Mus musculus: one gene and its partners. The protein of the gene in region 2 interacts with the protein of the main gene of each other region in a biochemical or structural test. Links are inferred from orthologs where the notes say so. Each region holds a gene or a part of one and is shown on either strand. Other genes may lie near its edges.

The links.
Region 1: the proteins of Ptpn6 (region 2) and Pecam1 form a complex in vitro, tested with the Homo sapiens proteins (2 studies listed by BioGRID, with this or other methods). The link is inferred for Mus musculus from reciprocal best matches to the Homo sapiens genes PTPN6 and PECAM1.
Region 3: of the proteins of Ptpn6 (region 2) and Ros1, one has a biochemical effect on the other in vitro, tested with the Homo sapiens proteins (2 studies listed by BioGRID and IntAct). The link is inferred for Mus musculus from reciprocal best matches to the Homo sapiens genes PTPN6 and ROS1.

What each region holds. Positions count from the first base shown.
Region 1 is NC_000077.6:106,712,477-106,716,674, reverse strand, and holds the start of Pecam1 (platelet endothelial cell adhesion molecule isoform 3 precursor), read left to right. Parts: upstream 1-1,393; 5' UTR 1,394-1,622; coding exon 1,623-1,656; intron 1,657-1,746; coding exon 1,747-1,773; intron 1,774-4,198. UniProt on the Homo sapiens protein: Cell adhesion molecule which is required for leukocyte transendothelial migration (TEM) under most inflammatory conditions.
Region 2 is NC_000072.6:124,730,349-124,734,539, forward strand, and holds the start of Ptpn6 (tyrosine-protein phosphatase non-receptor type 6), read right to left. Parts: upstream 2,807-4,191; 5' UTR 2,606-2,806; coding exon 2,598-2,605; intron 2,513-2,597; coding exon 2,390-2,512; intron 2,147-2,389; coding exon 1,952-2,146; intron 1-1,951. UniProt on the Homo sapiens protein: Tyrosine phosphatase enzyme that plays important roles in controlling immune signaling pathways and fundamental physiological processes such as hematopoiesis.
Region 3 is NC_000076.6:52,192,440-52,196,619, reverse strand, and holds the start of Ros1 (proto-oncogene tyrosine-protein kinase ROS precursor), read left to right. Parts: upstream 1-1,375; 5' UTR 1,376-1,663; coding exon 1,664-1,789; intron 1,790-4,180. UniProt on the Homo sapiens protein: Receptor tyrosine kinase (RTK) that plays a role in epithelial cell differentiation and regionalization of the proximal epididymal epithelium. NELL2 is an endogenous ligand for ROS1.

The DNA.
Region 1 (4,198 bases), on a different chromosome or scaffold from region 2:
TTAACACCTTAGCAACTAGAGCTCAGGGCGAAGAAGGAAGTGGTATGATTCCAAGGTAGAGGGGGAAGCAAGGGGGTGAGCAAGAACTGGGTAAGGGAGGCCTGGGGTCTGCCTTTTCCCAGAGAATGTTACAACCTTTCAAACATCAAAGGGAGAGAAACCAATTTATAGTCTAGAAAATTCCGTAGGAGGCAAGGCTAAACACACATCTGCAATCTCGGGTGTTTGTCTGTGATGGGAGGGTTGTGTTCAAAGGCATCTTGCCATTTAGCCATCCCCTGGGTCAGAATAAAGAAGGAAGGGATGAAGGGAGGGAAAAGGGAATGTTAGCCCGATGGTAGGGGAGGAGGGTGTCGGGAGGAGGGAGAAGGGGTGAGCTGGGGACTGGAGAGATGACTTGGCAATTAAGAGCAATCATGAGGACTGGATTTCAGGTCCCATCACCTCTGGAGAACGTGACAATCGCCTCTTCTGGCTTCCAAGCACACACAGGCACACAGACACTCCTCCCTCAAAATGTATTCATTCTCTCATGAACATGCATGAAAGGGGGACAGGACGGTTCACTGGAGAAAGGTGCCAGCTGTCGAGTCTGATGATCTAAGTTTGATCCTGGGACTCACATAATGGAAGGAGAGAATTTCTACACGTTGACCTCTGACACACCCCCCCCAATACATAGTGGTACACATGCATTCTACCCTACTTCCACATACACAAATAAATAAATGTTTAATAAGAAAGGTTGGGAATTGGCAGTGGGGAAAGTAGTGTGTACTACACACACATATATACCCACAGTCACAGACACACACATACACCCACAGTTCCACACAAACACATATACACCCAGTCACACACACACACAAACACACATACATACATACATACACAGTCACACACACACAAACACACACACAAACACACATACACAAACAGCCAAAGGGGCTCCTTTGGTGACTAAGCCGGTGATCAGGGACCACTGCAGCGGCTTAAGAAAATCCCTCTTTCTACTGAGCCACCAGTAGCGTTCCTCACAAGGACTGCATATTGTCGGAGAAGCTGGCCAGTGCAGGATAGGAGGCCCAGATTTACACTCTATGGATACAGCCCCCATAGGGAGCCCACAGGAAAGGCAAACAGGTCTTGCTAGGTATCCCACAAAAGCACTTTTGAGTGGAAATAAAACCTCCTTGTCCTGTCAGGAGAAGAAGTCCCCAAACCCAGATGAGGCTAGAAGCGCAAGAACTTTGAGGCAAATGCTACTTGTGGGTTTTTTTGGTTGTTGTTGTTGTTTTCTCCTCTTCTAGACAAAGCCATTGGGTTCAGTGGTCCCTCCGGAAGGCCAGTCATTTCCTGAGGAGATATCAGGCCAGCCCAGACCTCATTGTTCTTGGTTTCCAGCTATGGCCGCCATTACCTGACAAGTACCAGAGCTGGTCTCTGCGCGCCTGGAGAGGTTGTCAGAGTTGTTTCTGCTTTTCACACAGCAGGCTTCTGGTCTGTGGCAGGCAAGAGAATTCTGCCCCTGAGGCATGGCCGGAAGACAGAACTAGCTGAGTGCTTCAGTCTGCAGAAGTCTTTCAGGATTCAGCTGAGGTGGGCCTCAGTCGGCAGACAAGATGCTCCTGGCTCTGGGACTCACGCTGGTGCTCTGTGAGTTTCTAACCTGCTTCCTTCTTCCCTTCTTATGAGACTTGAATTCGTGAAATCAACAGATTGGCTTTCTTTTTCTTTCTCTTCCAGATGCAAGCCTCCAGGCTGAGGAAAACTGTAAGTCCTGGTATTTTCACATGGCTTCCTTCTTTGTGTCTTTTCTGAAATTAACTCATGTCAGACTGCTTAGGGTTGGTGTTTACAACAACTAAGAAAACTCTCAAAGCCTTGTTCTAAATCAAGGTTCAAAGAGTGTGTATTAGAGACAGCGGTGTAGGAGAAAATTGCTGAACACCAGTCTTACATCTTGGTGGGTTTCTGTTTGTTGGAATGGGAGAGATGGGTTTTTTTAAAAAAATTCCTTATATGTATATATGTATATATATGATTCCTTATATGTTTGTGGTCTTTCTGTCATAAGCTATTTCTTTTTACATCATACTATGCCTCTAATTGTTTACTTTCAAACTCTTCTCTTTATTCGCTTGGATTTAGAGTCTGTAATCCCAGTACTTGGAAAACAGACACAGAAAGATCAGTAGTGAAGTCCAGCTTCGGCTCCATAGGAGTTTGAGGGAGGCCTGAGCTACTACGTGAAACAGTACAAAACCGACTCCCAAAAAATAAAAACTTAAAAAAGTATTTTTTTTTCCTTTCACTTGTTTTAATTTACAAATGAGACTCAGTTGACTTGACAGACTATGGAGGCTGAAGGAGCAGACAGTAAATGGGTGTCAGGACTCCCTCTGTCCTAAGAGAGTAACAAAAAGGACCAGCCAGATCCCCTTTCCCTCCCACCGGGGAGGCTCCGCTCCTATCTGAGCTTGCTTGTGGGGAAGGGTTCTGCCTGTCTTTAAAGTCAGACCTATCATCCACTCGAGAGCTGATTCGGAACCTCCGAATTTTTCAGATTAAGAGGATCTGTCTCGCTCCGTCCATCAGAGACTCTGAAGGAAGAGGCTCAGCCCAGCCCAGGGATTGTGGGTCAGGAAGAAGGCCACAGATTACACTGGCTCAGTCAAAAGTTATTCCAGTGTGGGAAGACTAGGGATGCTGGGCTGCAGGCATTTTTGAGCTGAAGAACGTGACAGGGCTGAGTTGAGCCAGGGATGGAGCTGTGGCCCCAGGGTGGGGAGGGCTGTGGTCTGTGAGTCTGTGATTCCTTAGGCTTCTGGCTCCCTTGGCAACACCTGGAGACAGACTGTGTATTGTCTTCAAGTCATCCCCACTAAAGGGTGGGATGGGTGAGCCTCAGAAAGACATGACTCAGCCTAGAATGTCAGGGCTTGTCAGCACTACGGCCTCCGCTCCCTGGAACCCAGACATCTCTCTGGGGCTTGTGCTTGGCTTTACTTAGCTTGCTCTGGTTGGGGACTGGGGTCTCACACTGCTAAGGTAGTCTTGAACCCACTGTGTAGCCCGGGCTGCCTAGGGACTAACTCTAACTCCTCTTGCCTTAGCCTCCCCAATACTCCCCAGCCTGGTGTCACTCAGCCGGCTTGGCTTTGCTTCTTGGGACCTTTTTCCCCTGACTATAAAATGGAAACCACCCACAGACCTGGTGGCTCGAGCAGGGTAAAGTTGAGATTGGAGTAAGGGAGGAGGAGTCATTTGTGCTGTCTATAGGATTAGTAAATGATCCCGGGCAATCACCCCAGCCCTCCTTTATAGTTTAAATTTGTGCCCTATTTGCTCTGTACCCTTCCGTGCCCCCTATCCCCACTCCATCTCTCTCTTGCCCTCAGGGTGTCATATACCTGAAACCCACTGTGTAGCTCAGATGACAATGACTTTCAGGTCCTCCTACTTTCCTCTCCCAAGGGCTGAGATTATAGGCACACACCACACCAGGTTTATGCAGCACTGGCAGTCAAACCCAGGGCTTTAAGCATGTGAGGCAAGCACTCTACTGACTGAACTACATCCCAGCACTCTCTGTCTCCTGTCTGGGTTCTGCCCTGCCAGCCCTAGAGGGTTCTTGCATCTCAAGATCCCCATAGCTTGTCTCCCATCTCTGTGTCTGTCTCTGTCTCTGTCTCTGTCTCTCTCTCTGCTTCACAAGACATCTGCTGTAAGAAACATGGCCCAGAGAAGCAGGCAATAGACTGAAGTTGCTTTGTTGGAACTGGAAGGAGCCTCAACCTTCCCCAGGGATGAAGGATGAGGGGCTGGGGATGTGTGTGTGTATGTGCACACGTAGTGCATATGTAGGGGTGCGTGTGTGTGTGTGCATGTGTGTATATGCATCACTACCAGGAAGTTACAGCTATTTTTTTGTAGTTGGACTGGAAGCAGGGTGGGTTCTTTTTGATACTTGGGCACCTTGTTTCTGCAGGTGGAGCTGACCAGTCAGGCTGGGGCGGAGCCATTCTTTATGGCTAGGACTATTGCCCAGTGCAGCCTGACTTAATTCCTCATGGCCTGAGGCTATTATATAATATATTCCCAAATATGAAAGGGTAAAAAGAAGAAGGGGGTGGAGCTGGGCATGGTGGCACAGGCCTTTAATCCTAGCACTTGGGAGGCAGAGGCAGGTAGATCT
Region 2 (4,191 bases):
ACCACAGGCAGAGAGTTCACTATTGAGGGGACAAATGCAAATTTCCCAGAAGAGGAGGGGCAAAGAGAGGAGCCATTGGGTCATGGCTTCCACACACACTAAGGTTAGGGATGAGACAGCTTCTTCCCAAATGGCCATCCAAAGTGTCCCTTGGAGTCCTCCGCAGCCCTGTCAGAGGGTATCATCCACAGGGTGTCCTGTGCTTCCCCACTGCCCTGGCCTGTTCTCCTAACACCTGTTTAGCTCCCACCTCCTTCCTGATCACAGGGAACACTGCAGCCACCATTCAGCTGTACCTCCATGGTCTACTCTAGCAGGGCGCATCCTGGCTTGAGTCAGCAACAAAGAGAAAACAAGGGGCTCAAAGCGAATCTGAGAGAGAGGCCAAACCATCCTGAGGGCTGCAGGTAGGATAGGAGAGGAGAGACAACCTGGGGCAGGCCCTCCCTTCCCACTCACCAGCAGAAGAGGAAAGCCTTCTAGGGAGTGTCCTCCAGCTTCTTTGTTTGTTTGTTTGTGGTTTTCTTTGTGTTTTGAGGGTTTTTTTTGGTTGGTTGTTTGTTTGTTTGTTTGGGTTGGAGTTTTTTTGTTGTTTTGTTTGGGGGTTTTGGTTTTTCAAGACAAGGTTTCTCTGTGGAGCCCTGGCTGTACTGGAACTTACTTGATAGACCAGGCTGGCCTTGAACTTCCAGACATCCACCTTCCCCTGCCTCTTTTGAGTGCTGGGATAAAAGGCCTATGGTACCACCTCCACTCCGCTTGTTTTAGTTTAAGTCAAGGTCTCATGGAGCCCTATCCGGCCTCAAACTTGCTATGGAATGGAGGATAAACTTGACCTTCTTCTGGTCTTCCTGCCTCCACCTGGGCTCACAGGCACGTGTCACTCACACTAGGTTTATGCACGACAGGGAATAGAACCCAGTGTTTAATGCATGGCAGGCAAGCACTCACCACCTGAGCCACAGTCCCTAGACCTTCAGTCCTCAGTTTTAGTCAGTAACTTGTGAACAAAACTATTGAGCTAAGTTTGTAGGCACGAATCTCAAAACAGACTTTAAAACTGCGTGGAAGGTAGCTAGTGGCAAAGCGCTCACTCAACTCAGACAAGGCCCCGGGTTCAGGCCCCAGCAGAGAAGGGTGTGGGGATCAAGTTCGGAATCATTTCAACTGTAAATACACAGACACAGGACAGGAACAGGTACGCAGAGCCCCAGAGTCCATAAGAAAACCCTGAGTTAATAGGGGTTGCCAGTCAGTCCCTGTGCTATACAGCTAAGACGAGCCCCAGTGTAATGAATGAGGGACATTTATCTCCATAACCTTCCCTTTGCACATGCTCTGAGAAGACCACAAGAGAACAGCCAGCCCAGCTATGGGGGCCGTGTCTTTGCAGCACTAGTTGGGGATATCCTGAGGGTCTCCTTAAGTCAGATAAGCCTGGGCCCTTCTCTACCTGTGACCACCTCAGCGACCTTGCTTTCACCAAGCTCTGTCCAGCCCCACCTCAGTGTGATGCTGAGAGAAGTCCCTGAGTACCCCAGTACCAGTGGACCTCTAAGACCTTATTAAGACAGGGACCTAGAGCCCCAGGCTGTGTAGAGGGCTGGAAGAAGGCACCAGAGTTCCATGGTAGGACAAGCTTTCTAGTAATAGGGCCGACCTGATGAGAAACACCAGAGACAAGGAGTGGCCTCTCTGTTACTCTCAGGATGAGGTTGCTAGGCAGCAGGAACCCTGCAGGAAGGCAAGGGGAACCCTTCTCTGGCTTCCTCAGGGGACAGGGGATTGGTTAGATACATGGGAATCATCAGCCTACAGAGGGAAGAGGCTGAGAACACTGAGAGAACAGGTGTGGAAGATCAGGGATGAAGAACGGACTGGGAACAGAAGGACACCTGGTCTGGATGTCCACTTATCTCAAGGGACAGGGCCAACCTGCAATGCCCCTCACCTCTCACTGGTGGGGTCCGAGCAGTTCAGTGGGTACTTAAGGTGGATGATGGTGCCATCTCGGTCCTGCAGGATGCCCTGCTGCTGCGTGTAATACTCGACCAGCTCTGTCAGCGTCGCAAACTTCTCCCCTCCGTACAGGTCATAGAAGTCCCCTGAGTTCTGGATCCGAATATGAGTCACCTGATCATCCACCCTGCGAGGCACCACCAGGTAGTGAGATACATGAGCAGCAGCGGGGTGGGCTTGGGGGGACAGGGGTCTCGATGCAAAAGCACATAGGCATGGAGTAGACATAGACAGTTATGGGCACATGCTAGGGCGACAGGCAGGGACAGAAGGGAAGAAATGTATCATGAGGAGACAACACAACCCAGGGAACCCAGGAATGCTCCGGACCCACACAATGAGCTGCCAAGGTGCAGGGAGGGCCACCCACCTGACTGAGAGGGAGAAGTCACCCTGGTTCTTGCGGCTGGGCCGAGCCAGGAAGCTCCCAGGGACTCCCCGGCCCTTCAGCAGGGTCTCTGCATCAGGCCCGCTGAGGTCCCGGTGAAACCACCTAAAAGTGCACAGGGCAGTGAGGGAATATCCCCAGGGCTCCAGCCACCCTTGTTTCCTATCCTCCATGGGTCCCAGGCCCTTACCTCACCATCCTGGGGTTCTCACTGAATTGGCTGCAGAAAATGTGGAGGGAACAGTTTGTCTGGGCAGGCACGTACAAACTCTAGAGATGAGCCTCAGGCAAGGCTCTCAGAGCCCAGGCCTCCAAAGCCAACCTGCAGTCCTGCTCCCCGGGCTACCACTCTACTGGCCTGGGGCAGCCAGCAGGGCGGAGACAGGAAGGGGCGCGGCCGACCCCTTAGGGGAACTCACTAGAACTTCTCTTTTCAGAGCGAGGGAAGAGGAGCTGGAGGGTGGCAGGGTGGGGGAGGGCCCACTTCCCACAGTCTGCCAACAAAGGCACAGGGGCAAGGCAGTAAATATTCATGACTCAAGAGGTAAGGCACACGTGTGGCAGGTCAAGAGTCACGCACAGTGAATATCCACATTATCAGGTCAACCCTTCCTCCTCCAGCAGCTGCCTCTACTCAGAATTATTCTTAGGCACAGTCTAATAATGATCGTGTGCAGTGGCACCGTCATTTAATGGAGTGTCGCAGCCTGCCAGACTCATTGCTACAATGTCATTTTCATGCCTCCTGTGAGTTACAGGTCACCAGGGCCTCATTCCTCAGGCACTATCTTTATCCCCACTTCACAGACAAGGAAACTGAGGCCAAGAAGTTTGAGGAATTGCCCCCAGGTCTTACCCTTAGTGAGTTGCAGGATTCAGACCTAAATAGTTTCAAAGCCAATGACTTTTGAATTCTGCTTGCCAGCCCTCAGGACCCAAAGAACAGTAGTCAATAGACTCCTTGTCCAAAGGAGATGCTATCATCACAGCTGAGAGCCCCCACAAAGCAACCTTGTGCAGCTCTGTCATCATGGGCCTAGGCCTCCTTCCTATACCCTGACTGTCAGCAGGGAGGGGTGGGGTGGGAAGGTATCTCCTAAAGGTTAGGGTTTATGGCCAGGGTCCCAACAAGGGCAGACGCTCACAGGGAGGGCTTTAAACTTTAGGAGCGCTCAGCCTTCAGGCTTATGGGACCTTGTGTATGTAAACCCCAGGATGAATACAAAAAAAGATGCAAATACTACCAAGCCAAGACCAGAGGGGAAACAAGCTGCCCAATTTATATTGGTATCTTCCTTAGCAAGGGACACAGGCTGCTGGAGAAGGGAGATGGGACAGAGCACCTTATATCTTTTAAGGGTTTATTGTCTGAGGTGTTTTGATTGGTTAGTTTTGGTTTGTTTGTTTGTTTGTTTGTTTGTTTGTTTTATAATACTGAAATTAGAACCCCAGTCCTAGCTGGGCATGGTAACCCATGCCTTTAATCCCAACACTTGGGAGGCATAGGCAGGCAGCTCTCTGTGAGTTTGAGGCCAACTTGGTCTATACAGTGAGTTCCAGGATATCTAGCGCTATATAGTGAGACCTGTTTCAACAACAAGAACAACAAAACCAACCCAGACTCTCAGTCCCTTAAACAGTGTGAGGAGCATCCTTGGGCAGGCATCCTTGGGCAGTGTACATCTTCCACCCTATTTCTTTTCCTTATTCATTTGATTCCCTTCACACTTCTGCAGTCCTAGGGTTTGAACTTAGGACCTCAAACTCGCAAGGCAAAGGCTCAA
Region 3 (4,180 bases), on a different chromosome or scaffold from region 2:
TCTACAAAATGAGTTTCAGGACAGTGAGGTCTGCACAGAGATATCCTGTCTTGAAGAAACAAGAAAAAATATTCAAGTTTAGACCAGGCATGGTGGTGCATACCTCTAATCCCAACATTTGAGAGAAAGAGGCAGGTGGATCTCTCTGAGTTTGAGGTCAGCTTGGTCTACACGGTGAGTTCTAGATCAGTCAGGACTACATAGTAAGGCCCTGTCTCAAAGAAATGAAGAAGAAGAAGAAGGAGAAGAAGAAGAAGAAGAAGAAGAAGGAGGAGGAGGAGGAGGAGGAGGAGGAGGAGGAGGAGGAGGAGGAGGAGGAGGAGGAGAAAGAGGAGGAGGAGAAGAAGAAGAAAAACAAAGAAGAAGAAGAAGAAAAACAAAGAAGAAGAAGAAGAAGAAAAACAAAGAAGAAGAAGAAGAAGAAAAAGAAAAAGGAGGAGGAGGAGGACAACTACAACCACAACAACAATAACAAGAAGGGTCATGGTAGTGGTGGTGGTGGTGGGGTGGTGCTGATGGTGGAGGAGAGATGGCTCAGAGTTAAAGAGATGGCTCTTCCAGAGGCCCTCAGTTCAATTTCCAGCAATATGGTAGCTCATAACCATCTGCTAATAAGACCTGGTGCCCTCTTCTGGCACACAGGTGTGCATGTAGGCATAGCACTACATAATAAATAAATCTTAAAAACAATATGGAAGAGGCAGAAGGAGCAGAGTTCAAAGTTATCCTCAACTACAGAGAGACTTGAAGTCTAACCTGGGCATAGAAAATTCTGTCTGTGGCGTGGGGGATGGTGGAGAGAAACTGGAGTCAGTCTATCCAGAGTGACTGAATCCTGCAGCTTGCTGATTTTAAATTCTTTGTTGTAGCTTCAGGTGAACTTTGGCTGAGTGATAGACCCATGGAGATTTTGTATCATATTTTCTTCCCAAGGTGCTACACTTGTAAGTATCTTAGTTCTCTATGGTGCTTGGTTTCTGTCTCAATAGACCTGATAAGGCAGTATTTTAGTTAATATGTAGTCAAATTCTGAGAGTTCTTTAACAAACTTCCTTGTCTTGAACTTGCCCTTAGAGAACATGTCTAGTTTTCAGCTTCTTTTGCTCTTTGAAAAAAAAAAGTGTTTGGTTTCAAAGCATTCCTATTTTCTTCTCTAGCTCATTGCATACTACTAAAGCTTCTAATTTTTAAAACAGTTATGAGATACGGTTTGCTAAGCATGCATAGTCAAAACCCAATTTCCTGCATAGCTCAGTCAACCTCAAAGAAGTGCGGTGGCTGACCGACCTAAGTGTCCTGTGTCAGGATTGTGTGGCCTGGCTCGCTGGAAAGCAATCTAAGTTTCTCCTGTTTATTTAGCATGTGTAGAGCTCTTCCTGGATCTAACTTTTAGCCAGGGAATGTCTTTTGTTATGGGAGCAAAAGGAAGCTAAACTATAAAATAGCCTTGCTGCGATGTTCTGGGCTATCTAAGATCCAAAGGTCTAAACTAATCCAAAGGCCTCAATATTCTTTTTAAAGAGAGAATGATATTCTAACATTGCGAAAGAAAACAGAAAACCTACTTGTCACACTTGCAACTGAAGTATGAAGCCTAAAGAGTTCTTAAAGCAAGGTGGAGCTATGAGGACCCCAGCTGTGTAGGAAGCCAGCCCTCCTGAGGATGAAGAACATCTGCTGGCTCACCCTGAAACTTGTGAAGTTTGTGGTCCTTGGGTGCATCATATGGATTTCTGTGGCACAGAGTACAGTTCTGAGCAGCTGCCTAACGTCCTGTGTAACTAACCTGGTAAGTTTCACCGACTTTTGTCTTTGCAGAGATTAGGATATGAATCCCACTTGCAACTGACAGGTTCGTTTTCTTTTCATGACAAGGTCGCAAAGAAAACTGCTTATTGTCTCTCCCTTCCCCCCAAACCCCCCAAAGAAGGAGAATATATAGCTTCAAAATGTAAGGAAGGATATTTTATTTAATTATTATCAAATTCTAGATTTTTCAGCGGGGGGGTATGGGAGGCCTTAAATGGAATCAGATTTTACAAACTACTCAGTAATTTATTATAAAATAATTAATATTTGTTTAAAATATAAACTAGAATTTTGGTACACTTTGTTGGTACTATGGATGGATCGCTGACTAGGAAGCAGATGCAGAGGCCAGGTACAACATTTTGTGTCAAAAGACAGGATTATTTATGTCTCTTTATTTCTTCCTAAGAATTCCTCAGGTTGACTAATCAGTTTTGACATGAACATTTTTCTTTCTTATTGTGGTCCTTTTTGTCTGTATTGTATGATATTGCCTCACTTGTATGATAGTGACTTGGGTGTGCTTACTTGTATATTTTATGTTCCTAAATTAAGTTGAAAAACCAAAGGCTGTACCAGGAAGACATGCCTTGTTCCTATCTAAGGGTTAAATAACATGATAGATTAGGTATGCCATTTTGTACCCTTATTATAAAGTAACAAAGTGTCTAACACCGTACTCATCCTTAAGCTAACATATTGGAGGTAGAGGTCTCTGGCAGATTAGAAAAAGGTGTTACACACATCCGTTTTAAGTAAAGCAGTAGATTGTTGCTTGGGCAAACTGTAGATGGTAGCAATTTAGAAAGAGTTTACAAAGGTCTTAGCCAAGATCTCACTGCTTTGGATGCAGACAGGTTTGCTTTGCGTTTTTGTAGTTATGTTACAAACTTGCAAATAGAAGCAAGTATTGTGAGAGAAGCTGAGGCAGGGGGGCAGGAATGTCATGCCAGCCTAGCCTATAGGAGCTGTATGAGAATAGGCTCTTCTACCCTAAAAAAGACCTCTTCATTCACTTCCGGAGAAGTCAATGGATACACACACACACACACACACACACTCCTTCCCCCACCATATGGTTTATATGATTAAACAGGAAAAAATGAAGGAAGACTGGTGGTCCCTCTGTTAACCCTTGATATTTTTCTCAAACATATCTTGGTATGTATGTTGTGTGTATATATAATTTTATTTTGAGACAGAGGTTCACTTTGTAGTCAAAGTTGGCCCCCAAATCCTGGCAATCCTCATCCTCCAGTCTGCCTCAGATTAGAATTACAATAGCAAGCTACTATGGCTGGCTTAAACATATTTATAATTTTACATAAAACCATTTCATTTTACCTTATATTATAGATTTCCCTTTATATCCTGAAGGTCTTTGGAAATAAGCTCTTTAACATATTTAGAGAGCTCTGTTAAGAGCCTGTACCACTGCAGGATATCCATTTCCTTACTCTTGAAACTGATTTTGATTATTTTTCAAAACTGCAGTCTTCATTTTGCTTTGAGTTCTCCTTATTGTTCTCTGTGTGTGGGCTCCATGCCCTCAGGGTTTGGTAGCCCAGACAGTTCCTTTGTTGAGCTGCCTTCCGTTCACCACCTACAGCAGAGGGCACAGGCCCTGAGGTGGCCATTGCAAGAGACACAGTCTGCTGGTTTGACCAGTAAATGTAATAAAGTGTTCTAAACTGAGCCTCCCACTCAGGTTTGGGAGGGGCAGCAGTAGGTGGATGGACAAATGAACGTAGCCACGAAGCATGAGACACTTAGTATTCTCTGCCGTCCTTTTTAATGTGGACATTTGCTGTGAAGAGCATCTTTGATGTCAGGATTTTGATAGGTGGCTGATATGAAGGCAGTTTCTGTTTTTTATTTAAACACGAAACACATTCTTGAATAAAAGAATGTTAGGATTAAGTCAAGCATGGTGATTCTTGCAGTCAGGAAGCAGATGCAGAATCAGGACAGGTTTGAAGTCAGTCTGGGCTACAGAGTGAGCTCCAGGATAGACTTGTCTACAGAGTAAGACAGACAGTGACCACAACAAGCCAACCGCAGAAAATAATGCTAGAATTGCTGGGGAAAGCACAAGCCTGAGTTCTGTGTTTGAGTAGAGGGAATTTTGTGTTCACTGAGAGACTCTATGTGTGAGCTCAATATATTAATGGCCTTATACTTGAATTCTAGACGCCGTGTGCTCCAGGGAAACAAATAGTGAATCTTCTTAAGACTATTAATATTATGAGATGGCTTATAAAATAGAATCAATCAACCAATCAATCAGTCAGTCAGTCACTCAAACAACCCTCCCCCAAAATTCATAGTCAAATTAAGTTGTAGAAGTGCATTTTGCTGGAGATCCTCAGGG